Nothobranchius furzeri: one gene and its partners. The protein of the gene in region 4 binds, or shares a complex with, the protein of the main gene of each other region. Links are inferred from orthologs where the notes say so. Each region holds a gene or a part of one and is shown on either strand. Other genes may lie near its edges.

Region 1 (4,195 bases), on a different chromosome or scaffold from region 4:
TGTAATGGATATTTCACTTCACACACACACACACACACACACACACAAATAGGAAAAGGGGCGGGTGGGGGATAAATAAACCCAATTTAAGCGGGAAAACAGCTGCGTGAGGACACAACAGGTTCTCTGAGTGTCATAGATATTACGTTCTTCACAAACTCCCTACAGCTCTGCTATCCTTCTGCTCTTTAGTCATCCCTCTCTCCCAAACAGAACCTCCCAGCTCCACTTACCTTTTGATCCTCCTCTTTTGTCCACGGTCCTTTTACCAGCTCGGGGTTGAGCACCTTCTGCCAGCGGTGCTGACACTGACCATCTGTCCTCCCCTGTGACACAAAGTGTAACACCTTTTGTCAGCTACAATGACAGCTGTGTTTAACTGTATCTTTGCAGTTACACATCCAAATGCAGCTGGTGCAGGTAAGAGTCAGAAGGAGATATTAAAAATGATTTCTGTTTAATACTCACAGGAAAAAGGTTAGCGATTAATTTCCAGGATTCAGTTCCATGCTGCTCTATGAGTTTCTTCAGTTTTTCATCCTTAAAAAATAGAATAACAGAAAATATAGACGGTGAGAATTAAATGTTAACCCTGATCTTTCTAAATGAGGGTGCAATTAAAGTTGTTCTTACATATTAGGGCGGCAGTCATTTACATTTTTAGTCTGAACTTGAAAAACTCACTTCATCCCGAGACCACTTGACTTTGCACAGCGTCTTTTTATCTTTGTTCTTTTCTTTACTCTCTGGATCTGTGGAAAGCAGCTCGTCGTCTTCATCAGTGCTAAAACACACAGGTGAAAAAAGCAGAAAAAAGTAAAAACACTATTGTTTTCTGCTCACCATCAGTGCCTTAGGAGTGTTTTCTTCTCAACAACTAAACCAGGTCCCATTTCAGTTCTTCACTGCATTCTTGGGAGATTACAAAAGCCCAGTTTTACCATGCTAAATCTAATTCAGAATGTTGGCATTAACTACTTGTTTGACCGGATTTGTGCAACACTGACTTAGGTTTTGTATCTGAGTAAGAAAAAAAGACGTTCTTTGCTGTAGAAACCTTTATGAGGCCAGATTTTCTCACTTTGAGCAGGAGAAAAGTGACCGAGTCTGGACGTAAAGTCGAACAGGAAGGAGAGGTGTAATGAAACTGGTGATCTCGCATCAACAGCAGCCTTTCAGTAGCAGAGGTGCATGAGAGTGAGCCTCTGTGAATAAGGTGGAGGTGTGGTCAAAGGCTTGGCAAAGCCCTAACGGTCCACTGGTTCAAAATACAAAATAAACACACTAATATAAAGTCCTGGCATTTAGCTTAGCATAATTTTAAATCACATAGCAATACCTGGAATACTTTTTACCAATAATATCAAAATGTCCTAATTTTTTAGGACTGAAACTGACCCTGATAAACAAAAGAAAGATTTCAGTGATGATTTATATTTTAGTTGCGACAGTTTTGCTGGTTATTTAAATTAATAAAAAATCAAAAAACAGTTTAACATGATCATTTCAACAATTTAGTTTGTTTGACACGGTTTTGTGAGTTAGATGCCAAAAACACAGATTTTCATAATCAGTAACCAACGAATAAATACAGCAATCAATGTGACATTTTGCATCATAATATGGCAACATTTGATTAGGAATCACATGACTCAAGTATTTACTGCTTTTGGTTTAAATTACTTCTCAACTCAGAGACAGAGTACATTAAAAGAGCTTCATGGACTTATAGGTTTATTTCTCCACGTCTTTTTTGCCCTGCAGTAAAAAAAAGGAATGAAGGGGGGAAATAGTAGTAAACTGCAGTATGCACTTTAGTCTTGCTTTTTATTCATTTATGTTGATGTATTTAGCAGACGCTTTTGTCCAAAGTGACTTTCAAGTTATAATAAAGTCAGCAGGTTATCCTTGAGGCTAACAAAAATATTTAGGGTTAATTCAGCCAGTACTACACTTTTGGGTAATGCTCTTTTGAATTATTATGCTATTATTATTATTATTATTATTGTTGTTGTTCTTTATTATATCCCTCTACAGTAGATCTTCTGAGATGTTCAGGTGCACATGAACGTTAACGCCCACCCTGCTTCCACAACATTCAGGCTGAATTATCCAAAATTATTACATTTATAGGCTGATAAGATCACAAGGGGCAAACAAAAAGATGGCAAGTGAACCATATCTAATAAAATCACCTACCTGCGTGACTTGACGTTGTCCATAGCCAGTAGGATGATTGAATATTATCAAAGACGAAGCTGTGTTTGGAAATTTTCTGAAGTCCCGCATTAACAGAGGTTTATCCATAGAAACTGATGTTAGTCATTGCTGTTTTGTTTGCGGTAACTGTGCGGCTAGCTAACGGGCTAACTGTCTTCATAACATTGCTCTCTGTGCAAACGCCATTTTCACTTCCGATAAAATCGTCTCGGCAGATATGAAAGTCGTCCTTGTGTCCCTTGCTGGTACGTCTTTCTTAAAAATGTAGTGTTACACAACAAAACGCCGGAATTTAGATAGAGGAACCGACACATTACTTTCATTACTCGCCGTCAGAACGGGTTCTCGTAATCTTTCCCCTGTGCGTACAGCTCCGTGGCGTTATGATTTTTGTCCATCCCGCCGATTCTCGCGCCCAGCCCTCTGCGCAGGCGGCCTCGGTTCCTATTGGTCAAAACTGGGCTGCCAAAAAAAAGAAGTGAATGCTCAAAGCTAATAGGTCAATTGAGGAGGAACTGTTCGTAACCGATTGGTTGAATTTTTCACGAGCGTACTCTTCATTGGATGAGATTTGAGGGAGGCGGGTGTTCACTTTCACAACTCCTCGGGAGAATGGATGTGGTGGGTTCAGACGGGTTGACGGGGCTGCGGGGGCTTTGGTCCTTTGGGGATGTTGGTGACAGAAGATGTGGAACCTATTTTCCCATAAAACAAACATTTGCACATTTAATCACTCATATCTTAAACATATAGCTCCTCGTGAAGTTCTTCGCAGATCATGTAGGGTTCGTGTGCAAAACTGTGAAATGTATGTTGCTCATAATTGGCATGATAAAACATCTGTGACTCAAAATATTACATCATCTTTGTGATATAATAATATTTGCATTGTGTTTGAGAGCGAACTTTCTCTGCCGCCTTAAGAAACTGGAATTTGCTGCCATCTAGTGGGCATTTAGACTTTCACCGGTGTTTTTCCCATTTTCCCCGTGACATGCAATCTTAGCATTAGTATCTCTGAATTTTTTTTATTGCAGTGGTTAGCAGACAAACTATCTATAATAACAATAGAAAGTTTTCTTTTGTTCCCCTGTAAGCCTTTAAAATTTTGGATGCAAATTATGAGACATTTTACAGTTTTCTAATAGTAGGTGTCCCTCATGTGTCCCATTTTCACTGTTAGACTACTGTGTGCTTCTTAAAGACGGAAAAGCGGAAGTAGGATCGTTGTATTCTGATGAAAATAAAAGCCTCTTTAATTCCACTCACGTTATTATAAATAATAATTACAATAACAATATGAAATAATAATAATAATAATCAAATTATACTGTGCGATTTCACACAATTTTGAATCTGATTACAAAATGAGCAATTTCCTATTGCATCATAATTGCACAAGTATTTTTAGACTACCAGCATAAAGATAACAGCGACTGAATTAAAGCTTGTTTGAATTATGCAAAGAGCTTGTTAGAAATCAGAGTAATGGCCTAAAATGCTGCAGAAAGACTTGGATTGTAGCTGCAAGAAATAATACATGTGTGCATATATCTGTTTTTGTAAAAATCATAATAAATAAAGACATATAAATATACATAAAATGTGTAAAAGACTTTGTTACCTAGTTTTATTTTGAAATAAAGAAAATGTGGTTGATAGAGTATTTGGCTGCTGGTATTAATATTTGGAACCTTGTGCAGGAAAAACACACAAATTCCTGCTTCTCCTGACGTTCATGAGAGGTGAGGAAATGCTTTTATTTGTGTGTTGAGCTGTTTTTTGCTTCAGGTTTAATATTGTCCTGATTTTTTAATATAGTGTAACACAAAAGATTATTCTTATAGTTTGTCTTGTACTTCTAGCCTATATACTTTTGTTTTTTTCTTTTGTCTGAATTTATTTGGAAATCCACGTCTTTCCATTTGTAGTTAACCCTATGGTTGTTTGCTTTTTACTTGATGTGACGTGTGAC
Region 2 (4,281 bases), on a different chromosome or scaffold from region 4:
ATGACTGACACAAACCTGCATATAGAGAGTTGCAGTAATCAAGCCTAGAAATTACAAATGCATGCAGTACCTACTCCAGGTGGGCTCTTGACAGCATAGGCTTGATTTTAGCAAGACGTCTCAGGTGAAAGAAACTGGACCGGATCACAGAGTTGATGTGTGCATCAAATTTAAGTCCAGCATCAATTTTCACCCCCAAACTGGTGACAACTGGTTTTGAGTAGGGAGAAAGAGGGCCAAGATCAACATGACGATCCACATTCCTGCTGTTGGGGTGAAAAACAATGAGCTCTGTCTTTCCCTCATTCAGATGCAGAACGTTGGCCATTAGCCAAGACTCCACCTCGTTAATGCAGGACACAAAGGACTGGATATAGTGACCTTTCTCCTGACACAATGGAGCATCAATCTGGCAATCGTCAGCATAGAGATGGAATGATAGGCCATGTTTACGAAAGATTGACCCCAGAGGAAGCAGATAAATGGCAAACAAAAGAGGACCAAGGATCGATCCCTGCGGGACCCCCCAGCGGAGCCCCTCCCAAGAAGAAAAAACATCACCCAGTTTAACGCAGAATGTTCTGTTGTGGAGATCCAAACCAATCCAGAGCAGACCCTTTGATCCCAACCCATCGTTCCAAGCGATCTAGTAGAATCGCGTGGTCAACTGTGTCGAAGGCTGCCGTCAGGTCTAACAACAGAAGCACCACAGATGTACCCTGATCTAGTGATAGATAGATGTCATTTAGGACCCTCAGTAGAGCCGACTCTGTGCTATGGCCAGACCTGAACCCTGATTGGAAAACCTCAAACAGATCAGCGTCAGCTAAATGTGAGACCAGCTGCTGATAAACGACTTTCTCAAGCAGTTTTGATGTGAAAGGCAGGGTAGAGATAGGCCTGTAATTTTCTATCACATAGACATCAGCATAAGGTTTCTTCAGGGTCGGCCGAATAACTGCTGCTTTCAAAGCAGCTGGGACCACACCTGTGCAGAGGCTCCCATTGATAATCTGACCAAGTGATGGGCCAAGACACGGAAAGGCAGCCTTCCAATTGTATACATTGTATGCAAATGTATTTGTTATTTTTTTAAATCAAATTGTTCTCTTAAGTGTTGGTGCTGCTGTAACAAGTGAATTTCCCTACTGTGGGATTGTTCTATTCTATTCTATTCCATTCTATTCTATTCTATTCTATTCTATTCAGATATATCAGCTGAAATTTGGCATCATTCAGTGTGGTGTGTGGTATTTTTTTCAATCGAATTAAAGAGGAAATAAAAGTGACAGGCCTAAAAACTATTCCTGGTAGATATAATAGCGACTAATGAAAAATCCTCCTCCTACTCCTGCGCAACAGATGGCGGTAAATGCATCCCTGCAGCTGCCTGCTCTCCACCAATCCCAGGAGAAGTAGGTTGTGGGCACGACTCACGTCACTGCTATGGTTACGTCACACCAGTGTTGTCCAATCAGACGCCGCTGTAGCGAGACGCCGCCAAGATCAGATTGTGAGAGGCACTGCTGAAAGCGACAGGCTAGCAGAGAGCCGTGGAAAGGCTAGCTGACGGTGTGCTAACGTGAAGTGCTCTGGTAAGATGCATCCACTGTAGGGTGGCTTCCCACCCGGCGCAGACCAGAGCTCATATACAAGTGTTTAAACGGCCTTTATGTCTTGGTCGACATGAAAAAGTGTTGATATCACACGAAGCTAACAATGGTAAACTTTCTCGATGACAGCTGGTAGTTAGCTTGCTGGCTAGCTAGTGGGCTAACAAAGCGCTGGAGGTTGCGATTTCTCATTGATATCGAGTTAGCTCGTAGCTTTGATAACCAGTTGCTAACTAGCGAAGTGTTGATCATCGATCTACTTAACGATCTTGTCATGGTTTCTATTACCACGGTTATAACTTACTAAACAGAATATGCAACAGGACTTGTTTAAATAGTCCGCAGACATGAAGTTTGAAATATGTAACTCATCTGAATGTAGAAAGAGCTTTCACTTTCTTTTACTGTAACGAATTAAAATAAACAAATTTTATTTGTTTAAGCCACATATTCATTTAAATAAAAATTTAAAGCGTGATTAATTGGCTTGAAACATTTCAATGAAGTTTTTAACTTTTTCAAAAGTGTACTTTTTGCACAAAAAGCTAAAATATCGATTAATTAGATTTGTTTTGTTCTGATTTACTAGGTTGTTGTGACCAAGAGGCCCATGAATGAGATCAAAACTACTGAGAACGTTTAAGAGAATGTGATCAGTTGTAGCAGATAATTGCGGAATCCCAAAATATAAAATTACTTTACATTTGTATAACTTGTTTATTTCCGATTAACATTATATATTAAATTTGCTATTTCAACTGATTCCTTTTGCAGGCCCAGGTCCCTGAATTAATGGTGTCAATATAGTTTTTTATTCACTTCTTTGACTTAATTACTTTAATATGAACTCCTTTTAGAAGAAATGTAGATCAAATCTATGGGCTTGATCCACACATTATGTTGTATGTTTATTAAATTGAAATGTAGTACCTGTTAACATACTGTTGTTTATTTACCATAATATGCAGTTTTAAAATGTTAGGTTTAATTTAACTTGAAAACTGGTTAGTGCATTATATTCATGACAAAAATGTTGTACAGCTCATTTTGCTTGCTTTTGTGATCAGTTTCTCTGATGAGATGAATGATGTTTAATGGTTAGTCAGCTGCCAGACTCGACCAACAGGCAAATCCTGGTATCAGTTTTTGACATAGCGACAAAAAACTGACCTGAGGAAAAACAACTCTTTAATCATATGCTTAAGTTCTTTAAAGGAATAACTTTGATTTATGAATAAAATAGTTTTAAAAGTACATTAGGATTGCTGAGTTTGTTTCCTGTTTGGATGGGATTTAGACCTCCTCTTCCTCCATTCTCTAATGCCAACAACAACAGCCGTCGAAGAGACAAGAGAGTGCACTCGTAAGTGCACGGATTCGCAATTTAAACCCCTCTAATCGTGCAAAACGCGCAGTGCTTTTTTCCAATATCAGTTCTTACTTAAAGAAGGCTATAATCTGCAGCTCGGACCAGAAATCTCTGAATTTTCTGCCAATCGTGTGAAAACGTGCATAAGCTAACTAGCAAGCTAAGGAGCAGCAGGCTGTTAGCAGTAACGGTTAGCCGGCTGTAGTCAACAAAAGATTGTTCATTATTACTGACATGTGGTGTGAAACCTGCTTCTGTGGTGGACTGATTTACTATCTGTAACTATATTTTAATCTCCGTGGAGAAAAATCAACAGTTTCGTCAAAGTTGGCACGTTTTCGTGACCTGTAGCAGAAGTTGGACGATGCCTCTCCTCCGGACGTGATCGGTACCTGAAGTAGGCCTTGTGCACACATAGCTTGGTAAAAGTTGTGGGCATCAAGTGAGGGTTGACTGTGCTTTTTTGTGTTTACATCTAAAGGCTAATGACGCAGCGGTTTGTACAATTAGCTGTAATTTCCGCCAGGTTTGTTTTGCTAACTGAGGAAAAAGTGGAGTAAACATGATGATGGAATTAGCTTAGTGTAGTGTGCTGTGCTCATAGCCAACCATTGAAATGGGCCTGGGTTCATAAATGAGTGCAAAAGCTCATTCAAATCCATCTGTGCCGTGGGGATTTATAGGAAAATGTTATAAATAAGTGAAGCTTGAAACTTTTGCTCACAGCTTTCATTTCTTCTGCAGGGGTCTGAACACTTGAGTGACAGAAGGAACAATTTTTTAATCTGAACTAAACTCCTTCAGGTCCTTTGGGATCATGGCTAAAGATGTGAGTAATTTCCCTCAATATTTTCATCCATATGCACATTATATCTTGTAGCCAGATGAGATGGTTCTTGTTGTTTTAGCATACCTATTATTCTAAACCATCATTAATGTTTGACAATAAACCCAAATTGCAAAATGATCCAATTACCCATTTGGTGTAATTTAAGGAGATATGCACACTTAAGCATCCATTATTGCATCACTACTATCTTATATTATTTTTAATATTCTATATTTGCAGCATAATGAGTTTTGTCTTTTACAGGCTGGTTTGATTGAAACAAATGGAGAGCTGAAGGTTTTCATCGATCAGAATCTGAGCCCTAGCAAAGGTATAACTGAACCATCTTTTGACTTTGTTTTTGTTATTTTCTCCCAGTTTACACAATCTATTTGCACTGACCACCAATCCTGCAAAAATATCGGTAGAACCGATTAAAAGTGAACTATGGGGCTTTGAAGTTTCAACCA
Region 3 (4,106 bases), about 6.3 Mb from region 4:
GGTTAGCATTCCTCCCGAGATATGTATATAAACACATGTTTCTATGGTTCCTCCCACGTCCGTCAGCGGTGGGTGGGGTTTGAGCGGGTGAGTCTGACCGACTTCCAGAGAGGTTTGTTAAGATGAACGGCTCTCTACAGGGTCTCGGCTCTCATCATTCACTTTGAAAACCCGTTCAAAAGATTTGATTCATTCATGAATGTCACATCACTACCCAGGTCAACGAGGGAGTAACCAGAAAGAGCACGCTCGAGAACCTCCTCCAGGAACTCCAAAAAAAGTGGGTATAGGCTGCAGCAGTTTGGTGCATAAGCACAAACCAGTCTGGACCCGTCCTGACTGATCCTCATCACCTGAAATAAACACTAAAGTAAGATTAGTCCAACCCAGTCTTTAATAACCAGGGCTTATTAGCTGGTGTGTAATAGGTACCGCGGTACCAGAGTCCTGAACAGATGGGCCTAGGAGTAAGCAGGAAATAAAATAACAGACTTTTTTTAAATAAAAGCTTTATTGAACATGGTGATGAGTATACACACAAATTGCATGCACAATTAAACAAAATAAAATAACAGACTTTTTTTTCAAAACTTTATTGAACAAGGTGATAAGTATACAAACAAATTGCATACAAAATTGAACAAAGATGAAACATATGCCAGGGGGTGCACTACAGAAATGTTACACACATCCAAATAAATTATAGGTGGTGCAAATAGTTATAGTTTTTAAAGCTTTTTTGTTTAGTGATCCACTAATCAATTTTATGTAAGATAGAGTGTCACTATAATAGTGCTTGAAATTAGGTTTTTAGTTACTATACTTGCATTTGTGGAGATAGAATTTAGCTAGAATAATTAACAAATTTATAACAAAGTATACATCTTCCTTTCTGTGCTTGCGAAAAAAACAAAATACATTTTCCCATTTTAAAACAAAGTCCTAGCTGAAATAAAACAACAGACGTCACGGCTCTCTGCAGGCTTCCTTGCGCCACCTACTGGTAAAAGGCTGTTACTGCACCTTGTGGGCCAAACCTCAAACATGTAACACTTGATGAGGGACTCACGAGCAGCTTAACAGAACCAGTCTGAGCACCAGAGCCACGCTTTGTTGCTGAGTCGTGTTGGCTAGCACCGCTAACGGTCACGTGCTTTAAAAACAATCAAGTTTGATGGCGTTTCGGTGGACGTCAGAAAACAAGAGCAACCGGAAGTAGTTGTATTTGGCTTACGCTACGCAAGTTTAGTGGGCTGGGGTGAGTTACGTTGCTGCCGCGATTCTCTAACGTATGCACGCACACATGTGACGTTCCCTCCGTGGTTGGCTGCGCTGTGTACGTCAAAAACGTCACAGCTCGCGCATCTGTCAGAGGACATTTAAATGGCTACACAGCCGATCCGCGCAGCACCGTAATAACGCCGTTACTGCCGCTACAACTGCGCCAGCCTCGTCCGCTCCACCCTAAAGGCGCGCTTTGTCCGTTCGGTTCGGTTCGGTCCCGAAGACGAACATGAGCGACGAGGAGGAGCGCCTTGTGAAGATCCGAACCAGGTTCGAGGATCTGTGCCGAGCTCTGAACATGGACGAAGAGGCGAGTACCGAAGCGTGGAGTAGCTACGAGAACATCAGCAGGAACTTCACTCTGGAGGTAAGCAGGTGCTGGTGAGGGTTCGGTCCATTCGGGCCAAAACGTCTGACATGAAATGTCATCTAGGTCTCCAACTCAGCAGGAACCGCCTCGTTCAACATGGCAGCAGCCTTTTGCAGATGCACGCATCTCCTTTTTCTGGATGCAGCACCAATGAGGTCTGGTGTTTCTTCTGAGCTATGACTTCAGGTGTTTTCTCTCTCTCTCTCTCTCTCTCTCTCTCTCTCTCTCTCTCTCTCTCTCTCTCTCTCTCTCTCTCTCTCTCTCTCTCTCTCTCTCTCTCTCTCTCTCTCTCTCTCTCTCTCTCTCTCTCGATATATGTAGAGAGATGGAGATGCATACAATAATATAATACTCCTCTCTCTTACTAAATAGACAGGCAGATAGACCTAGGCCGGTATGTGTAGTTGTTTTCCTGAAATACACACACACACACACACACACACACACACACACACACACACTTGTATTTATATGTTTATGTGGACCTCTTTTGACTTCCATTCATTTTAGTGACTCCACTATGCCGAACCTATACCCTAACCCATAACCAGCTGGTGCAGTAATCAGAACCGTTGTGTGTGCAGGGCAGCGAGCTGCACTGGCTGGCCTGTGCGCTCTACGTGGCCTGCAGGTCTTCGGTGCCCACGGTGGGGAAGGGGACTACTGAGGGGAACTACGTGTCACTGACCAGAGTCCTGCGCTGCTCTCACATCAGGTTTGTGTGTTTGGTCCATAACTCGGCTGCTAGGAGGTCATGTGACGGGATCTGCTGAGCGGTTCTGATGTTCTTCCAGCCTCATCGAGTTCTTCAGTAAGATGAAGAAGTGGCAGGACATGGCCAAGCTGCCACAGGACTTCTGTCAGAGTACCGACAAGCTGGAGCGGAACTTCACCGTTTCAGCCGTCATCTTCAAGAAGTACGTTCCCATCTTCAGATCCATCTTCAAGACCCCATCAGAGGAGCTGCTTCGGGTCCATCGCAGTCGCAAACAGAGGTGGGTCCACGTGACCTCCGACCCTTCGTTAGAGTCCACCTGCTTCCTGTTCTGGGTCTGGTTGGCTGAAATCACCTTTGCAAGATTTAGTTTCCCATAGATTAAACACAGAATTGAACTGTTAACTAGGATGACCTTTGACCTTTCCTTAGGCGAGGTAACTTTATTTGTATAGCACATTTCAGGCATAGAAGTAATTCAGCGTTCTTTCCAGGAGTGACAACATAAATCAGATTATAATTTAAAGACACAAATAAAATTAGCTGTAAGACAAATCTCTGGGTGGAGTTCCCATCATGGTCCCAGTGTCAGACACGCTGCTGCTGGGAGGCTACGGAAAAACAAAGAAATTGCAAATATTATCGTAGTGTTTAAGAGCAGCAATACACGTGTGTAACGGTAAGCTAAAATGACATAATGTTAAAACTGCAAGGTAAAGAGAGACAGATGGTTAAAAATAACTCACCTGCAAGGCTCTAGCCTGGACCGGTGCAGGCTGGTGGAGGACTACATCAGTCTGGTTTCTTTGGTAGATTTAGCCTGAAAACAATAATAACATCACGTTGTTGTGGGAGGTTAGTAACTTAGATCATGTACAAAACTAACTGTCTAATTCATGTGCTTTATAACACGGCAATAACACAGATCTGACTGCTCTCAGAACTAACTCAGGGTCCAGAATCAGACATGTTTTAATGAGAACCGGACTCAGAACCAGTTCAGATCCGGGTCAGGTCTGCAGCAGGAGGAGCTGCTCCTCAGTGTCCCTCCAACTTTGCATCAGCGCTGAGATTACTAACTCTACCTGAACCCATCTGTGACATCGTCACACACACAACACTCACTCCGAGCCTGCGGCATTGTGGACTGATATTAGCTAAATTATGCGAACCACGTCTCTCTTACTTTGTAATTATAAATATAACAATTATAGCTGCAAAATCGGGGAACAATCTTTAGAAGCTGTTAAAAGCAGTGTTGGGAGTAATGCGGTACAAAAGTAATTAATTACTGTAATGCATTGCTTTTTGCTGTAATGTGGTAATGTAAGGCATTACAGGGAAAGAAAATGGTAATATTTACTCGGTACAATTGTCAGTAACGCGGTAATTACAATGCATTTTTAAACCCAGAATCAAGACGTGTTCCTTAAAAATTCAAATTACGGGAAACCCGAAGAAAGATCCAGTATCTGCATATATGACGTCATTTATGGACTCAGCTTTGCGGGCAGAGAGGACGCAGCGGTAACGGCTCAGCTGCGTCCTGCACGCGGCCGCTGTTATATTCACAAAATCGCTCCACTAAAACAAAATAATTCACTTGCGATCGTTCATATCAGCGCATGTTCTCTGGTATTTTGTGCTTTTCTGACGTGCTTTGCCTCAGCTGAGTTCATAATCTGTGCCCCGGTGATTTCAACTCATTACTGCTGGAGCGCCGCGCATGTGAAGATC
Region 4 (4,150 bases):
TGGCCAGTGATCTCACATCGCCCATTATGATCGATGGAAGAGATGGTTTGAATTTCCTCTTTCTCTGTCTCCGTTTTGCTCCCGCTCTGCACCCACGCTTCTTGCGTTTAGCTCATTTGGGATTTGTGGCTTCAGTTGAGGTAATATTTCAGCCTTTCCAATGTTAATCAGCTGCTCCTGATTGTAAACCATTTGTTGCCATAGTTACGCATCATAACAAATGCTCAAAAAGTGAAAAAAGCTAAAACATAGCAGTAAAAATCCTCCAAGCTTCACAGCACCAGAAACAGAAAAGTAAAGTGTCCAAAAAATACAGTTTTTTTTGAGAAACTAGAAGAAAAATGCCCAAGAAAAGGCAAAACTTACACATAGTCAACTCCAACATGCAGCCGCCCAGAGCAGCGCAGTTCTGGAAAGACAATAATTATACACTGTACACAAAGCTAAAGTACGGAAGGTTGACAACTAGTGTGTGTCAAAACCATACTGCAAAATAACTTGGTTATTATAGGATAAGAAAATAATTAATGGAATATGATTCATTCTTTTGTAACTAGCAGATGTACCAATGCATTGTTTAAGTAATATGGCAACACCCGTGTATGATATTTTTCTTTTCATTTATGACAGCTTGTCACATCTCCATAACAAAAATATGCCTTCCTGGACGTTTAAAGCTGGGTTTTGTGTAAATAATTCGTAGATGTGATGAAAAACAAATGACCGGGCCTTGACTTGAGTCTTGCTCATCTCTTGGTCCAACTGACACGAAGAATAAAGTAAAAATTTAACAAACAAAATTACAGTAAATAATAACGAAACATAATCAATTAATTTGCATGCAAATGAACTACTAAGAACGTGCAGACTTTAGTGGGGTTTTTTGCGCACGTAAAAGTGCGCGTCTGTTCGTGTGCGTGTTTGGGTAGATAAGGGTAAGCACATAAATTGTAGTATTAAATAAATACGTATAATTCATAATTTTAATGGATGCAACCAATACGTAAAGACAATGCAAACATATTCTGATACAACTCATCTGTAATATAAAATATTTACCAGCTAATTTTAATGAACTTTTGTTTTAAATTAAGCAGCCACTATTTTATTTTTGTACACGTCTTCTAAACAACGTGAGTATTCTCAGACACTCCCTTGTACGATTGAACCGTCCCGTCATACCTCGCGTGGCCAACGGCTCTCTACCACCGACTGCCTGCTCATTGAATTACAGCACTCATCGTGTTCAGATACATTTGGGCAACTATTTTCTAATCTAATCCACACGGATTAAAAAAACACCACCACGCAATCTCGGGCTGCTGTGTACTCGACTCCGGCGGTGGAGCTCTCCTGTGCTCGCGGGTTGGAACTGGTCGGGGAAGCGGGGGGAAGTACGGAGCTTGTCCCGAGTGATGGAGCTGGAGTCGGCTAGTAACCGAGGCGACCCGGGAGCGGTGGGAGATTCGCTGCAGCCACAGACCCCAAGCAGGCATGAAAAGAGCCTGGGACTGCTCACGACCAAATTCGTGACCTTGCTACAGGAGGCGAAAGACGGAGTGCTGGATTTGAAAGCTGTGAGCATTCAACCCGGAGTCTTTGTTGTCAGCTAGCACATGTCATACAGAGCCTACCCGCTGTCGTTACTTTCGCTAGCATATTAGCTTAGCTTAGCTCTGTCATGCTAATTTGAATGGATGTAACCTGTTAGCTTCGGGGTTTACAGTATTTGAACATTTGTGATACTCTAACTTTGTTTATTTTGGTGACTCGGTGTGTTAGCGTCCCATAGACACGAACCGTTCAGTCAGACGTGAAATTAACTTTGAAAACAACACCGGCCAACTTTTCAGACTCGCTCTGCCCCCTGCAGATTCAAACTCTCAAAAGTGGGTCAGCTTTTGTTGCTAGTAACATAGTGTGGCATCTTCACACTTGAGCAGTTTCTTTTTTCTGATGGGTATGGCCTTTTCTCTCTGAACGATAAGCACCCCCACTGCGTTAGTTTTAGGAAATATCTTAAATGTGTTGTTTTTTTAATGAGACCTGCCCACTTCCATTAGGTACACAAACGCAGCATAGCTCCTTATTGGTTTTTATCAAGTCCGATTCCAAAAACGTGCAAATCTTTGTGTTTAAACACGTAGAAGTAGTGGATATGCCTCCTCAGTAATGTCAAGATGCTGAGAACTAACCTACTTATTTGATGCAGTACTACTAATACACATGTCCTGACAAACATCTGAATTCAGATACCTCAGACTTGTCAGATTAGTAATGCTCCAAAACAGAAACATTTATAAACACAGTGCCACCTCTGAGCCAAAGTCTAGTAAACCAGGTGGTGTTTAGATTAACTTGACTTCATAATTTCATAAACTAGCTTCCTGGCTGCGGGCACTTATGGTTGCATTGCACTCTGCAGATCATAAAATACCAGACGCTCAGATGTTTTTCTTTCTCTTTCGTTCAGTCCAACTGACTTAAGTCCAGCTATTTGAAAAAGCTTAGACTTATCAGCTCCTTGCAAATTGTTTTTATCTCCTAAGACCCAAAGACTTGGCTGGGCAGGAAGTGTAGATGTCACACCCAGATGGTTTGTAAAATATATCTTTTTTGTGTATTTTACACTCAGCCATGACATTTTCTGTGCAAAAGAGCCAAATGTGTGTTTGTTATTCATATTTTATTCATTGTATTTGTCCTTTTTCTTTCAGGCAGCAGATACCTTGGCAGTGCGGCAAAAACGACGTATATACGACATTACTAATGTCCTGGAAGGAATTGGTCTTATAGAGAAGAAATCTAAGAACAGTATTCAATGGAAGTAAGTTTTATTTGTATGTATGGCTTCATGAAAAGACTAGAATTTATAACTGCAGTCTGTAATAAATTGTTCTTAGCCTTCATGTTTCATGTTTTCATGAAACATCAAGCCTTCATGTTTTCATCATTGTCTTATGTAACAGGGATTACGTCTGAATCGGCTGCAGTTTTCTGAACACGATTGTCTGAGCCTCACCTTTCAATTTTTAAACTGTAGTGATGTTTGTTATATGTAATCATACTAACATATCATATGCCAATACTTTGAGGATATTTATGACTTTGAGGTTTTGCAGCAGTCCTTAACACTTAAAGAGCAAGTCACCCCCTACCAGATTCTTACTCCCCTCCCACTTCCTGTTTGAAAAATGCAACAAATGCTGTTGCCTAGCAGACCGAGAGGGTGGAGCCGCTAACAAACACACACAGGATCACAACGACATTGTGACATCATATGGAACCAGCTAACATTCTAGGGTACCTCTTAGCCAATAGCGATGACAGATTTAAATTCAAATACAGTGCAGAGTTTTTACCTGACAACGGCACAACACTGACAGTTTTAGGCAGAAAATTTAAATTTGAACTAAAATGCACTAAAGTGCAAAACTATTGACTACACGTGTCTGCAGCACGATTAGACACGCATTTATGTAGTTTATCAGAAAATAAGTTGATTTGGGGGTGACTTGCTCTTTAATGTCCTACATACATAAAACAATGCCGTAAGGGAAATGACTATGAGCATGGCTGATTAGCATGTCTTCTACCTGAGTTAGACGTGAGATGAATCTATCTGCAGCTTGTTTTGGCTACAAGTTCATCGTTTATGCTGGGAAAAAGGTTGACGGCGAGTTTTCTTTGCCTGTTGAATGTGAATGACCACGTGCTTACCAATGTGTTTCAGGGGTGTCGGCCCTGGCTGCAACACCAGGGAGATTGCAGATAAGCTGATTGATCTAAAGGCTGAGCTAGACGACTTGGCTGTCCGGGAACACGAGCTGGACCAGCAAAGAGTCTGGGTTCAACAAAGCATCAAGAATGTCACAGACGACTCCAACAACAGCCCATATCTTTCACTGCTGTGTGTGCGTGCATGCGGATGTTTAAACTTTTTCAAGAGAGAGTTTTGTAATAATGTGGACTGTGAGCACCTGGTCACCTAAAGGGGTATTCGACCAATTTTGCACTTAAAAGTCACACAGATTATCACTCAGTCTGTAAAAAGTTGTGACTTTTCACATGATTTAAAGCCAGACATCTTAATGTTTCACTGCTAGTCATATTTCAAAGTTTCAGTGAGAGTTTGATGTTTTAATTTTGC
Region 5 (4,327 bases), on a different chromosome or scaffold from region 4:
AAGAAATTGTAATGTTTAGTTGCTAGCTGCTAATATCTCCAGCTGTAGTTCGTTGACAAAGTTTCAGTTGAACACAGAAAATAAATAGATTTGTTGAGTTTTAATAGGTTTAAGTGAAAACGTCTGGCTTTCACATTATTTTGACTATGCTGTTAACACTAATTTAAAACCTGCATTACTTTTAAGTGATATAATTTATTTAGAAAGTTTATAAGTTAAGAAACAAGTAACCAAATTGAATATGGGTTCTTTTTGTTCTTTGTCTAAATAGATTTTTACAAGACGGACTTAGTAGAAACTCTTGCTCTATTTTTTAAAACACTTGTTTCGTTGAAAGAATGGAGAATGTGCGCCCTCTGCTGGCAAATAACAGAACAACACAGGTTTCCAACTGCATGCAGACAAGAAGGGAGTATTTGCTGCCCTCTAGTGTCTGAAATTTGATACTGCACATCCGATTTTTAAATCCATTTAGAAGGGAATATTTAGCCTCTTTAGATTTTTCAAAAATTCAATCACATATAGTTGCTAGCTCCGCTGGCAATAAATAGAACGACACTCTAATTTCCAACTGAAATCTGGTACTGCACGTTCCTTTTAGACATTCTGAAGAGAATATTTAGCCTCTTATTTTAATAAAGCTTAAAAAAAATCCATCTCTGTTTTAACTGCTAATAGCCCCAGCTATAGCTAATAGCTAAAATTTTGTTGTACACAGAAAAATAAAATAGATTTGCTGATTTTTAATTTTTAAGTAGTTTGTACAAGTGAACTAGGCCTGGGACGATAACAGATTTTGCAGGACAATATATTGTCCAACAAATTATTGCCAATAAACAATATTATTGTTGACATTATCGAGACCAAAATAATCACTTATATAATTTTAATATATCATAATAATGCAAGTACACCCTTTAAAATGCAGCAAATAAAACTCTTGTTAACATTAGAATGTTCAGAATCGAACTTCTAAATAAATGAATAAAACAAACAAACAAAAAAAAGAAATAAATAAAACGGACTTTCACTCACTGTTAGAAAATATTGCACCAAAAACCATAAAATAGATCCTGTATTGGGTCATCAAAGAAAAAGGGTTGGGAACCACTGACCCAGACTCTTCGAACTTGGACCAAATTGTTGTACACAGATAGCAAAATCTGTTCAACATAGATTGTGATATGTAAAACCACAGATCTATTTGTAAAAACACCGATTTTCTTTTCTTTCACAAATGTTGGAATGAAATTGTGTAAAATTGTACAAAATGTTGAAATGTATCTTGCCTGGCCATGGAACTCGCTGTGTGCTTAGCACCCCTAAACCTCTGATGCTAGGATCGCCCCTGACACTTATTATAAAATTATTAGTTTATTCATTTTACCCCCAGGAACACGGCTTTGGTGTGTAAGAGTGACCTCTTGTGGTGTGTTTGTGAATTTACAAGGCTTTGTCAACATTGACTCCTATTCGTTGTCACGGGTCACGTGATTATTGTGAAGATGGCGTCTCCGAATGGAGGTAAATTTTAATTCCTTACACAGATACGCTGTTAAAAAATGTAAAATTTAACACTTTAAATCACACAAATTATTCCACGAATGTATTGATGATGTAGCTGAACACCCAGAATTCAGAACTACACATATCAGCGTTGTAGTCCGACTTCTCGGAGGTGGTTTTGTTTGACTGAAGGCTCCACTAGCCCCGGTGTTGTTAGTCCACCAACGTTCAAGGAAGAACAGTAGACAGCTGGCTGCAGACCTTCCGTAACTCCTGATATTTTAAATACTACTAGCTTTTGAGTTGCCTCTTTGTTAAATACTGGCCTAATAATTAATATTTACGACATTTTTCCAACATTTTGAGGCATTATTTGTTTCACATCAACATATTTTGAAAGGTTTTTGAAAGGTTATATATATATATATATATATATATATATATATATATATATATATATATATATATATATATATATATATATATATATATATGTACACACACACACACTATGTAGGGTCATGTATTAGGAAGCATAATGCTAACACAAATTGTTACACTAAATATTGGTTTTAAGAATAGTTTTTGAATAATCAGCACACAGTTGTTGTCACAGCCTAGCAGAAATGGTTGTATAGGGACTTGAATCAAGCAACATTTAAAAATGAAAGGTATGATAAATAAACTAAACCTCCCAAATATTAGTAATTTTTTTAAGAACAGCTGATTAATCAGTATTTATCTTGTACACATATTTTGTTTTAATACAGCCAACATATTGTATTAACTGTTGTGGTTACATTTTGACATTTGTTTGGCTGTAGTCATATGGGCCATTCCCATCTGTACCGGGTCGGTCCGGGCCGGGTAGCGTTGGTTGTTTACATATCTGGGTGGCCTGGTATTTTTCCGGACCAACCAAGGCTCATTCTCAGCCCTCTTCTCGAGGGGGTCTGCTTCAGGCCGACCAGGGCCAACACACCCACTGCTGACAGCAAATTCACACCTTCCATTAGAGCAAGCCTCTGATTGGTGGGTAGAATCAGCCCACATGGGCGTAAGACAAGGATGTGTGGAATCAACCGGGCCAGGATGGGGCCGACTGGGGCTACCCGGCCCGGGCCGACCCGGTACAGATGGGAATGGTCCATAAGTCACACATTTTACTTGTATTTACATCAAGAAGATCACATTTTGTTCTAAAGCTCTGAAATTTCTGCCTGAATTCTGAACATAATTTTACTTCCTTTTCTTTGCCAGGTGATGATTTTGAAAGCTCTTTGCTTAGTTTAGAAAAGCTGGACAGAGCGTCACCAGACCTGTGGCCTGAGCAGTGTAAGTTTTCATCTCCTCTGTGCTTCTTTATGGTCCCACAGTTTAACCTTATCTGTCCTGTCATTTCTCACACAGTACCCGGAGTTGCAGAATTTGCTGCATCCTATAAAAACGTAAGATACGTTTTTTGTCATTAACTGAGATTAATACATTAAATAATCATTTAGATTTGGCATTGCCGTATAATATCATTTATTTTTATTACAGCCCATTACAAGCTCACCCCCTAAGTGGATGGCTGAATTGGAAAGCGAGGACATCGAGATGTTAAAAGGTTGGTACAATTGTTTTTTTTTTTAATATATGTTTAATTAGAAAGATTTTCTCTGTGCCTGCAGCGTTTCATGTTAAAACTGTTGTACTGGTTAGTGTTTCCATAAATATATAATCTTGTCAAGGAGAAACTGAGTTGATCAAACTGGAGCTTAAAATCTTTGCCTTGTAATCACTCTGCAGAGCTGGGTAGTCTGACAACAGCTAACCTGATGGAGAAGGTCAAAGGACTTCAGAACCTGGCTTACCAGCTGGGTTTAGAGGAGTGTAAGTACAAAACACACAAACAACATGAAAACATAGGCTGTGATGTGTTCGTGTAGTTTTTAGTTTTCCCAATCAGCTGTTTACGTCTATCACCACCAGGTGGTGCTAGTAGCCTTTCCACTACTACGTTTAGTTGCAGAATCAGATTTACTTTTTGTTTGTTCAAAATAGGCTAAAATCACATGGATGTTATTTATTATTCAAAATCAGAGTAGATGTTATTGAAAGTGCAATTGTAATTTAGAGTCTGCATAAAACAGGTTGGCCGTAAGATCTTTAAAACAAGGATTTAGGTCAGTCTTGTTAAATGTAAACAAGTAAGAAATGAGTGCATGCCACCAAGAGCTCACACAAGCAAATGCTCAAGAATATGATGGATGCACAAGCTCTTGTTTTAATCCATTCCCTCCCGCCTCCATTGTAATAATCCTTCTGGAGTGTGGATTAGAGAGATGTAGCTAAGTGCTGATATTATCCTAAAAGAAGATAAAAATGTTTTTAATGTTTCTAGCGTAAGAGAATCGTTGTACACCTCCTCTTCAGCGACATGTGTAAATAAACTGAAATGGTAGCAAATTGTGTAAAATAATGTGAGTTTAAACAGCAGGGTAGATGGCAGCCATGATGTCGGTTCTTTAATGATAATAAATAGTTTGTAGAAGGTTTAATAAAACTTTAATGCCACTTTAACAAGAAAATGTTCATCTATAATAAAAAAATCACCCCAGAGTGATCTACATTTGGTGGTAAAGCAAATCAATATTTTAATGTTGCAGAAATCAGATTGATTCATTTTGTGAAATAATTAATTTTAGAAATGATTTGTTTGCCTTGCCTCCAGCAGAGGAAGTGTGTAGTGGCTCTGGTATGAAGACGCTAGCTGTCATAGGTGCAGGGCCGCAGCCTCTGCAGTCATGTCATGTACTCGGGGATGACGGGACACAAT
Region 6 (3,165 bases), on a different chromosome or scaffold from region 4:
TCCTGAATTTTGTTTTATTGTAATTAAATGATAGTAACTGACCCTCAGCATAAAGCTCTGAACATCTGACTTAGGATTTGTTATTTTTAATCATTCTTTTTGCTATTTTTAGGATTATTGATTCAAAACTTGATTATCTTCACAAAAAATGTTTTGCTTCTCAGTAAAAAAATATATATATATAAAAATATAATATAATAATAATATATATAATATATATATAATTAATCTAGTTAATTAGAGGCTTTCTAATTAGTCGCATTTTAATCGTTCGGGAAAAAGTGCCCTCAAAGCTGCACAAATGTTACATAAATGTTAAAAATATAGCTTATCTCACCTTTTGTAAAGTTTCCGGTGCCACCGGGCAGCAGCAGCAGCAGCAGAGACGATCTCTGCCCGCGACACGGACTCCGTAGTTGTCAGGAAGGTTTTGTTTTTAACAAGTTAAGAGAAGAGGGTGACGTGTTTCCCAAATACTGCATTGGTCCAAGCGAGACGATTTCTTTCTGTTTTAGTACCCGTTATATCAGAGCACTGTGTTGTGTGTCAGTGATATTCGCTCTACGAGGAAATCATGCAAGGACAAAGGTTCCGCCTTGCTTGAAATACAAGTTGTGATTAAATGTGTGAATTTTTTTAACACATAATTGTTTTCTAATTAATTGATCATAATTAACGTTAAAGTACCACCCCTAATATATATATACAGTATATATAAATCAAAGGTTACAACAGCTAAGCTCCTGGGAGGTTAATAAAATGTGAATTTGATTGCAGCATCTGTTCTTGTGTGAATATTTTCAGGCGTGAGCAGCGACCGTACCATTACACTGATCCCAGTCCAGCCGTGTGACTCTTCTGGCGTCGTCACAGCTCAGTTTCTGCTGACCGCCTCTCCGAGCCGGAACTTCACTGCTGCCTCGACCTCTGACCCTCAGATGGGGAACGGGCGGCCTCGATGCACCGGGTCAATCGCTCTGTTCTTCAGGAAGGTGAGAAAGATTTTCACTTGTTTATTTAAAAAAATAAACGATGATTGTTTATCTTCTGCTGGACATTTGTCTTTCCTCTGACTAACTCTCTCTCTCTGTCTCCCCCTCCCTCCAGGTGTATCACCTGGCCAGTGTACGCCTGAGGGATTTGTGCCTGAAGTTGGAAATCTCCTCAGAGCTGCGAGGAAAAATCTGGACATGTTTTGAGCACGCGCTGGTTCACTGCACTGAGCTGATGAAGGATCGACATCTCGACCAGCTGCTGCTGTGCAGCATTTATATAATATCCAAAGTAAGAACGATAACTAAGAGTTAACGAAGCAGCTGTGTAGGAAAATGCCAGCCAGCAGAGTGTTTCACTGAACAGCAGCTTCTGCGCGATCGTAGAGAAACTATTTGCAACACGTTAACGAACCAAGAACCAAACGTCTTCTCAGGCTGAATGAAGTCAGCCGAACACACAACTAGTCAGACTGAGGACTCTGGGATTCACTTTAATGATGAGGAGATCCAAACAGTGGTTATATGACGAACAACATCAGCCAGTCTGGGCTCCTTTTTGCCAGTGAGTTTCTGCTGTCAGTTTAAAAGCCTCCACTAAAATATTACAGACCAAAAATGTGTATTGGTTAATAAAAGCGAGCTGTCCTTGATGCCCTGGGTGCAACTTCCTGTTATCAAACATAGAAAAGCTGCTCGTTTTATAGATTTTATGAATTAAAAGGATTCTGCTCTCTGTGGTTATGCTAAAAATCCTGGCAGGTCGGTTATTGGATCAGCTGGTGTAACTTATGTTCCTTTAAGCACGGCTTTAATGCTCTCCTCTCAGATCACCAAAGAGACTCACACCTTCCAGGACATCATGAAGTGTTACCGCAGCCAGCCCCAAGCCAGCAGCCATGTGAGAAACACAAAAACCGCTGAAATCTAAGTTACACCTCGCATCTGCTGGAGGCTTACGCTGTCTGTGTGATCAGGTTTACCGCAGCGTCTTGTTACGGCGGACTCCCAAAGCGCAGCCAGCTGACGAGAACATGGAGGTGGATGCTGTGTCGGGTGGAGAATGTAAGATCAGACACACGCTTCCATACAAACACATTTAGATCTCCTCTAAAGGCATTTTAGCCAAAAATATAGGTCAATTTTTTTTTTTTTTTTATTTAGCTAGAAAACTGATGTTTGCCTCTTCAGACTAAATACATAAACATTAACAAATGATTTTCCAGGTTTGGCCAGCAAAGTTCATCAGGGTTCATCATGAACGTCGCATAAAATAATACATAGATGACTGATTAGACCAGGGGTCGGCAACCTGTTCCCATCAAAGAGCCATTATTACCCGTTTCCCACAGTAAAGAAAACACGGAGCCACAGCAGCCGCGACGTTGTGGGCGGGGCCTACCCTCAGACAGCAGAGAGCTGCTTTAACCAATCACAACAGGTGACAGCAGCCAGTACCGGTCGCTCGTGTACATAAAAGCTGTCTTTCATAAGAAGATAATCAATAAAATGATTTATATAAAATGGATCCAGAAGTTGTAGCCCGTCTCTGCCTACAGTATTTTGATATTTTTCACCCTGTTGGTGGTTTTACTGAGCAGGTGCCACTTTTGTTGTACGTTTCTTTTTAAAACATGTTTAGACTGTTCAGAATACAAATCCAGGCTCTGTCACGTTTGATTGTTGTAATTAAACTTTGTAGGTGGGGAAGGTCAGAAAAGGATCCGATCAATTTGTTTTCCCCTCATTTACAGTGACGGAGATAACGGCGCAGTGCGCCTGGCTCTGGTGTTAATCAAGTTAAATTTGTAACAATTTTCACCAGAAAACAGAACAGTTAAAAGCAGGGCTTGTGTTGTGTTGACCGGACAGTTTCCGTATTTGGCCGTTTGTTTGACGGAGAAAGAATAGAAAGAATTACCCCAACGCATGCAGACGAACTGACATTTTATTCGTTAGGCACATCACAGATGTAGCTAAATCACTCAAGAAAAGATTCCCATCTGAACATCTGAGCTGGACTCTTAGAAAATGTTCCCTGATGATGAAACTTTGGCTGAATAGCGTTTGTTCCTGTCTCCAGTGTGGCGACACATCCAGGGGCCGTCTGAGGAGAAGCCCAGAATCTCACATTGTCTTCAGCTCAGAATGCGCCTATATGATTACGCACAAG
Region 7 (4,180 bases), on a different chromosome or scaffold from region 4:
GAAAGGAGATCCGTTGACAGACAGAGGGAAGCCAGGATAGATACTCTGCCCTCAGATCTGTTCGCTACAGCTTCATTTGATGCTCTGGAGAGGGACAGGTACTCCAAAGACAAAGCAGACAGCAAACCCTGTTCTCCAAAGAACTTCCTGTCCAGCTCTGATGGAGATGAGCACTCAAAGCTTTTCAGATCTAGAAAGATAAGTAGTTAAGAATGTGAGCTTCTCATCAAAGGTAGCAACAAAATCACCAGCATGCTTACCTTTAAAAACAAAAGCTTTGTCCATGGTGTCCATTGGTCTTCAAACACCTGGCCAGCAGCAGGTGGCTTTAAATGGTTGAAGCTGCTTGTTAATTGGCCCAGCTGGAGGCTGCTCATCAGTCGGGATCAGAGGAAACGTTTTCTGTTTGGGCCGATGTGTGTTTGCAGTTCTGCTTTAAAAAATACTGTTTCATTTATAAAATGATTAGAATGGCTTTTAAATCTTTATTGAAAAGAAAACAAGACAAATTTACAGCACATGATCATAGTAATCTGCAACTTGGGGCCACAAGAGGCTCTTTGTGTCTCATATCTTGGTGATTAATTATATTTATTTTCAAAGTTTCATAATAAAGGTCTTTGTTTGGTTTCTGTCCAGTTTTATGCAAGTTTATATACATCTATAACAATTTGATACTAATGACACCTCTGTCGATTGGTTCCATAGCTTATTGTCCCTGATCTTTTACTCAAATTCACCACAAAGTAAATATATTTAAATAAAGTTATGGCGAGTATTTAGGACTCATTTAATTAAACATGACACATTGATAAAAGGGTTATCTGGCAAGTTAGAGAAAGAAATAGAGGTATAGCATATGTTAGATTTCATAGTGGAATAGTTTAGTGTTTATATTTTACCACAATATTGTTTTTACACTTACAGAGGGAGTGCCTTTTAATTTGACCTCCAGAGGAAAATCACATATTTGGCTAAATATATTGATTACAAGCCAATTACATTAAGTGGATAAAATAAATAAATATACTAGGATTAATCAGAAGAAAGGACAATTGAAGAAACGTGTTTCTTGTTTTTGAGTTAAGAAGTTTCGAGAGAAATTGTGAAATTTCTAGAATAAACAAAAGCTTGCTACGCTCCTCGTTCTTTTATTTTGAAAGTCTGGTGGGAAGTTTGACATCTTCCTGCGCCTGACTGGTTCGACCGCGCAGATCTGGTGCGCATCTACGTCACTGCTCTGGTCGAACGAGAGTGAAGGGCGCGAGATAGAAATAAGAAGCGCGGTCGGAATGGGCGCTCAGCGGCTGCTGCTGTCGGTACACAGAACCTCCAGCGCCGGCCCCTCAGAACCACACCGGGACAACGGTCCACTCCAACGTAAACACCTCTGTGCGCGCGCGGCGGAAGGAGGGAATATCGCCGTGTGACAAAGTAAACAAGTGAAGCAGAGAAATGTCTTCGTGGTCGCGCGGGTAAGAGATCGATCGTTGTTGCCGGATGTTGTTTTTGACAGTAGCAGAACTTGTTAATCTACTGATGTCTGGACGTTACTGCCTAGCTTAGATGCATTTGCAGCTGCAGTTAGCGGAAGGGAAACACGTTAGGAGGAGTTTTATTGTTGGAATTGTGACTCACGACTGCCGCCCTTTTCCGGGCTGTAATCACGAACAACAAGTCTGAGCAAATGAATCCTTGTCCTGCCCTCAGCAGTACTGTTGGTTGTAGCTAGTGAATTATAAATAATATAACCATGAAAACGCGCAAGTCCGCTCGTTTAGCCTCCCCCCGCCTGTATGGCCTTAGGGCGGGCACTGGCTAACTCCTGGTGTCTTCATTAATCAGCTGTGCACATGTGTTTCTCAGCGAGGATGCAGACGAGGCCATGCATCAGGACACTGATTCTGATGTGGCCGAGCCCAGGGATGGAGGGAAGGTGAAGGTGAAGTGGACTCAGGAGGAGGTGAGTGTGCTGACTTGTCCCAGATCACGTCGTTGTGGGTCAGCAGACCTGAACACACTGGGTTGTCTTTACAGGATGAGAAGCTTAAAGTGCTGGTTCTAAAACTGGGTCAGAATGATTGGAAACGTGTTGCCAGCTGCATCCCAGTGAGTCCCGCTGTTCTGGTCTTTAGTGTTACCGTCTTCGAGTCACTCCTTTAGCTCGTTCGTGCCTCTCTTTGCATTCTTCAGACTCACACCGAGCACCAGTGTCAGCACCGCTGGTTGAAGGTCTTGGATCCAGAACTGGTCAAAGGTCCTTGGACCAAAGAGGAGGATGAGAAGGTGGGCTGCGTTTCGTGTTGTGGATCAAGTGTAGAATATTTCTTGAGATTGTCAAAAAGATGCAACTGAATTGTTTGTTTTTCTTCCAGGTCATAGAGCTTGTTAATCTCTACGGTAACAAACAGTGGGCGATGGTAGCCAAGCACCTGAAGGGCAGACTGGGAAAGCAGTGTAGGGAGCGCTGGCACAACCACCTCAACCCCAACGTGAAGAAGTCATCGTGGACTGCTGAGGAGGACCTGATCATCTACAAGGCCCACTGTCTGCTTGGAAACCGCTGGGCCGAGATCGCCAAGCTGCTTCCTGGAAGGTCGGAAAATGTTGCTTCCTGTTTTCTAAACAAGTGGGAGGATGCACTGATTTGTGGTTGAAGCTGAATCTTCTGCTGAAAGGTCTTGTACATCGTTTAACAGGACGGATAATGCTGTGAAGAATCACTGGAACTCCACTATAAAACGAAAGCTGGAGATGGGCTTCTACGCCAGCGAGGTTTTCAGAGCAAACGAGCTGGAGGAGCTGCTGGCGCGCGTTAGTAAAGACGTGCTGGTGGGTCGTCTCCCTCCACCAAGCCTCCTACATCAGCAGCAGTCTCACGTGTTTCTGATTCGAACATCTTGTCTGTGGTGAACCAACAGGTCGCTGGATGCTCTCAGGATGGTTCGGACAAAGAAACGGATTCAAAAGTCCGACTTTTAGTAAGAAATCATCGCATCTATTAAAAACTATGAGCTTAAATGTTGCATCAGCCATCAGTCCTTATGTTTTTACAGAAGTCACAGGAACCATCGGCTCCTGCTAAGAATTCCCACGAAGCAGAGTCGTCCAGGGCTGTCTCCTCTCTAAAGGACGTGTCAAGCCCCAAGACCGATGTGGACTCCACAGGAGAGACGAACAGTTCCAACTGGGTGGTGGACAGCTCTGGTTTCCTCTACCCTACAGGCCCTGTGCTGAAGGAAGTGCTGGACATGGTAGACGGGGTAAATACCCATAATTCACCAGAAAAATAACAAACGCATCTCTGAAACTAACTAAAGTTTAATCGTATTTGATTATAAGAAATGAGAAGCAACTCGTTGCTCCGGTTTAGTTAAATAACCAGTTGCAGCAGAAAGATGATCACCGGTGCAGCAGTTAAATCCAGGTGGTGCCTTTTTCTGTCCGTGTTGTTTTAAAGGATTATTCTATTCTATTCTATTCTATTCTATTTAGTCGACTCTTTGTAAAATCTAGCGGATACCAGACTTGTAAATAAAACGATATCTCCTGTTGGTGGAGGACTTGGACGGCTGGTGCAACCTGGCAGCCTTCGACTTGCCCGAGGACAGCCCCAGCCCCGAGCGCCACCAGTTCCGTCTGGAGGGCAGCGCCTTGCAGGAGCTGAGCAAGTGCAGCAAGGGAGAACTCATCCCCATCTCCCCCGGAGGAATCACCCCTCCCTCCATTCTGTCCCGCCGCAGCCGGAGACGCATCGCCCTGTCTCCAGACGTCAATCGGTCCATGACTCCAAAGAGCACCCCTGTCAAAATCCTGCCCTTTTCTCCGTCACAGGTGAGGAAAAGCTCCATGCTGACGGCACCGACGCTGGTTACACGTCTCCGTCATCCGGGTCATGGTAGTCTGATGAAGGCAACTGAACTTCTTCGGTTCTTCGCCTAAAAGAGGCTTAATGGCAGCAGGACAGAAATAAATGCACCGATATGACATTTTTGGGCCGATATCCAAATACTGACATCAGTGCTTCTAAAATCAGCAGGTTTTGCATAGAATGAACACATTAAAGCTGAAGAGATGATTACAATCACGGTCACATGACTAAACGAATACACCCCACCCTCTTAAACATAAAGAAGATGGGGGGAAAATATGGGTTGTTCATATCGGCCCAGTTTTATTT

Evidence for each region.
Region 1: e2f4 (region 4) and mybl1 share a complex: the UniProt entries of both Homo sapiens proteins name them as parts of the DREAM complex. The link is inferred for Nothobranchius furzeri from reciprocal best matches to the Homo sapiens genes E2F4 and MYBL1.
Region 2: e2f4 (region 4) and tfdp1a share a complex: the UniProt entries of both Homo sapiens proteins name them as parts of the DREAM complex. The link is inferred for Nothobranchius furzeri from reciprocal best matches to the Homo sapiens genes E2F4 and TFDP1.
Region 3: e2f4 (region 4) and rbl2 share a complex: the UniProt entries of both Homo sapiens proteins name them as parts of the DREAM complex. The link is inferred for Nothobranchius furzeri from reciprocal best matches to the Homo sapiens genes E2F4 and RBL2.
Region 5: e2f4 (region 4) and lin52 share a complex: the UniProt entries of both Homo sapiens proteins name them as parts of the DREAM complex. The link is inferred for Nothobranchius furzeri from reciprocal best matches to the Homo sapiens genes E2F4 and LIN52.
Region 6: e2f4 (region 4) and rbl1 share a complex: the UniProt entries of both Homo sapiens proteins name them as parts of the DREAM complex. The link is inferred for Nothobranchius furzeri from reciprocal best matches to the Homo sapiens genes E2F4 and RBL1.
Region 7: e2f4 (region 4) and mybl2b share a complex: the UniProt entries of both Homo sapiens proteins name them as parts of the DREAM complex. The link is inferred for Nothobranchius furzeri from reciprocal best matches to the Homo sapiens genes E2F4 and MYBL2.

Annotation. Positions count from the first base shown.
Region 1 is NC_091747.1:51,691,726-51,695,920, forward strand, and holds the start of mybl1 (myb-related protein A), read right to left. Parts: upstream 2,844-4,195; 5' UTR 2,223-2,843; coding exon 2,200-2,222; intron 785-2,199; coding exon 685-784; intron 541-684; coding exon 469-540; intron 327-468; coding exon 234-326; intron 1-233. UniProt on the Homo sapiens protein: Transcription factor that specifically recognizes the sequence 5'-YAAC[GT]G-3'.
Region 2 is NC_091754.1:25,779,471-25,783,751, forward strand, and holds the start of tfdp1a (transcription factor Dp-1), read left to right. Parts: upstream 1-1,367; 5' UTR 1,368-1,595; intron 1,596-2,851; exon of another isoform or gene 2,852-2,976; intron 2,977-3,257; exon of another isoform or gene 3,258-3,404; intron 3,405-3,726; 5' UTR 3,727-3,799; coding exon 3,800-3,811; intron 3,812-4,075; coding exon 4,076-4,142; intron 4,143-4,281. UniProt on the Homo sapiens protein: Can stimulate E2F-dependent transcription.
Region 3 is NC_091744.1:80,482,501-80,486,606, forward strand, and holds the start of rbl2 (retinoblastoma-like protein 2), read left to right. Parts: upstream 1-1,295; 5' UTR 1,296-1,513; coding exon 1,514-1,651; intron 1,652-1,717; exon of another isoform or gene 1,718-1,770; coding exon of another isoform or gene 1,771-1,809; intron 1,810-2,238; coding exon 2,239-2,369; intron 2,370-2,448; coding exon 2,449-2,649; intron 2,650-2,857; exon of another isoform or gene 2,858-2,980; intron 2,981-3,115; exon of another isoform or gene 3,116-3,189; intron 3,190-4,106. UniProt on the Homo sapiens protein: Key regulator of entry into cell division. Directly involved in heterochromatin formation by maintaining overall chromatin structure and, in particular, that of constitutive heterochromatin by stabilizing histone methylation.
Region 4 is NC_091744.1:86,783,056-86,787,205, reverse strand, and holds the start of e2f4 (transcription factor E2F4), read left to right. Parts: upstream 1-1,281; 5' UTR 1,282-1,415; coding exon 1,416-1,577; intron 1,578-2,717; coding exon 2,718-2,827; intron 2,828-3,733; coding exon 3,734-3,895; intron 3,896-4,150. UniProt on the Homo sapiens protein: Transcription activator that binds DNA cooperatively with DP proteins through the E2 recognition site, 5'-TTTC[CG]CGC-3' found in the promoter region of a number of genes whose products are involved in cell cycle regulation or in DNA replication.
Region 5 is NC_091758.1:32,967,531-32,971,857, forward strand, and holds the start of lin52 (protein lin-52 homolog), read left to right. Parts: upstream 1-1,422; 5' UTR 1,423-1,505; coding exon 1,506-1,524; intron 1,525-2,766; coding exon 2,767-2,841; intron 2,842-2,916; coding exon 2,917-2,954; intron 2,955-3,048; coding exon 3,049-3,115; intron 3,116-3,297; coding exon 3,298-3,381; intron 3,382-4,327.
Region 6 is NC_091743.1:73,525,361-73,528,525, reverse strand, and holds part of rbl1 (retinoblastoma-like protein 1), read left to right. Parts: intron 1-804; coding exon 805-992; intron 993-1,107; coding exon 1,108-1,284; intron 1,285-1,821; coding exon 1,822-1,893; intron 1,894-1,969; coding exon 1,970-2,057; intron 2,058-3,165. UniProt on the Homo sapiens protein: Key regulator of entry into cell division. Directly involved in heterochromatin formation by maintaining overall chromatin structure and, in particular, that of constitutive heterochromatin by stabilizing histone methylation.
Region 7 is NC_091743.1:41,536,701-41,540,880, forward strand, and holds the start of mybl2b (v-myb avian myeloblastosis viral oncogene homolog-like 2b), read left to right. Parts: upstream 1-1,271; 5' UTR 1,272-1,455; coding exon 1,456-1,475; intron 1,476-1,866; coding exon 1,867-1,963; intron 1,964-2,037; coding exon 2,038-2,109; intron 2,110-2,193; coding exon 2,194-2,286; intron 2,287-2,375; coding exon 2,376-2,596; intron 2,597-2,699; coding exon 2,700-2,832; intron 2,833-2,921; coding exon 2,922-2,981; intron 2,982-3,056; coding exon 3,057-3,263; intron 3,264-3,561; coding exon 3,562-3,834; intron 3,835-4,180. Other genes in the region: uncharacterized protein, read right to left, coding at 1-190, 261-294. UniProt on the Homo sapiens protein: Transcription factor involved in the regulation of cell survival, proliferation, and differentiation. Transactivates the expression of the CLU gene.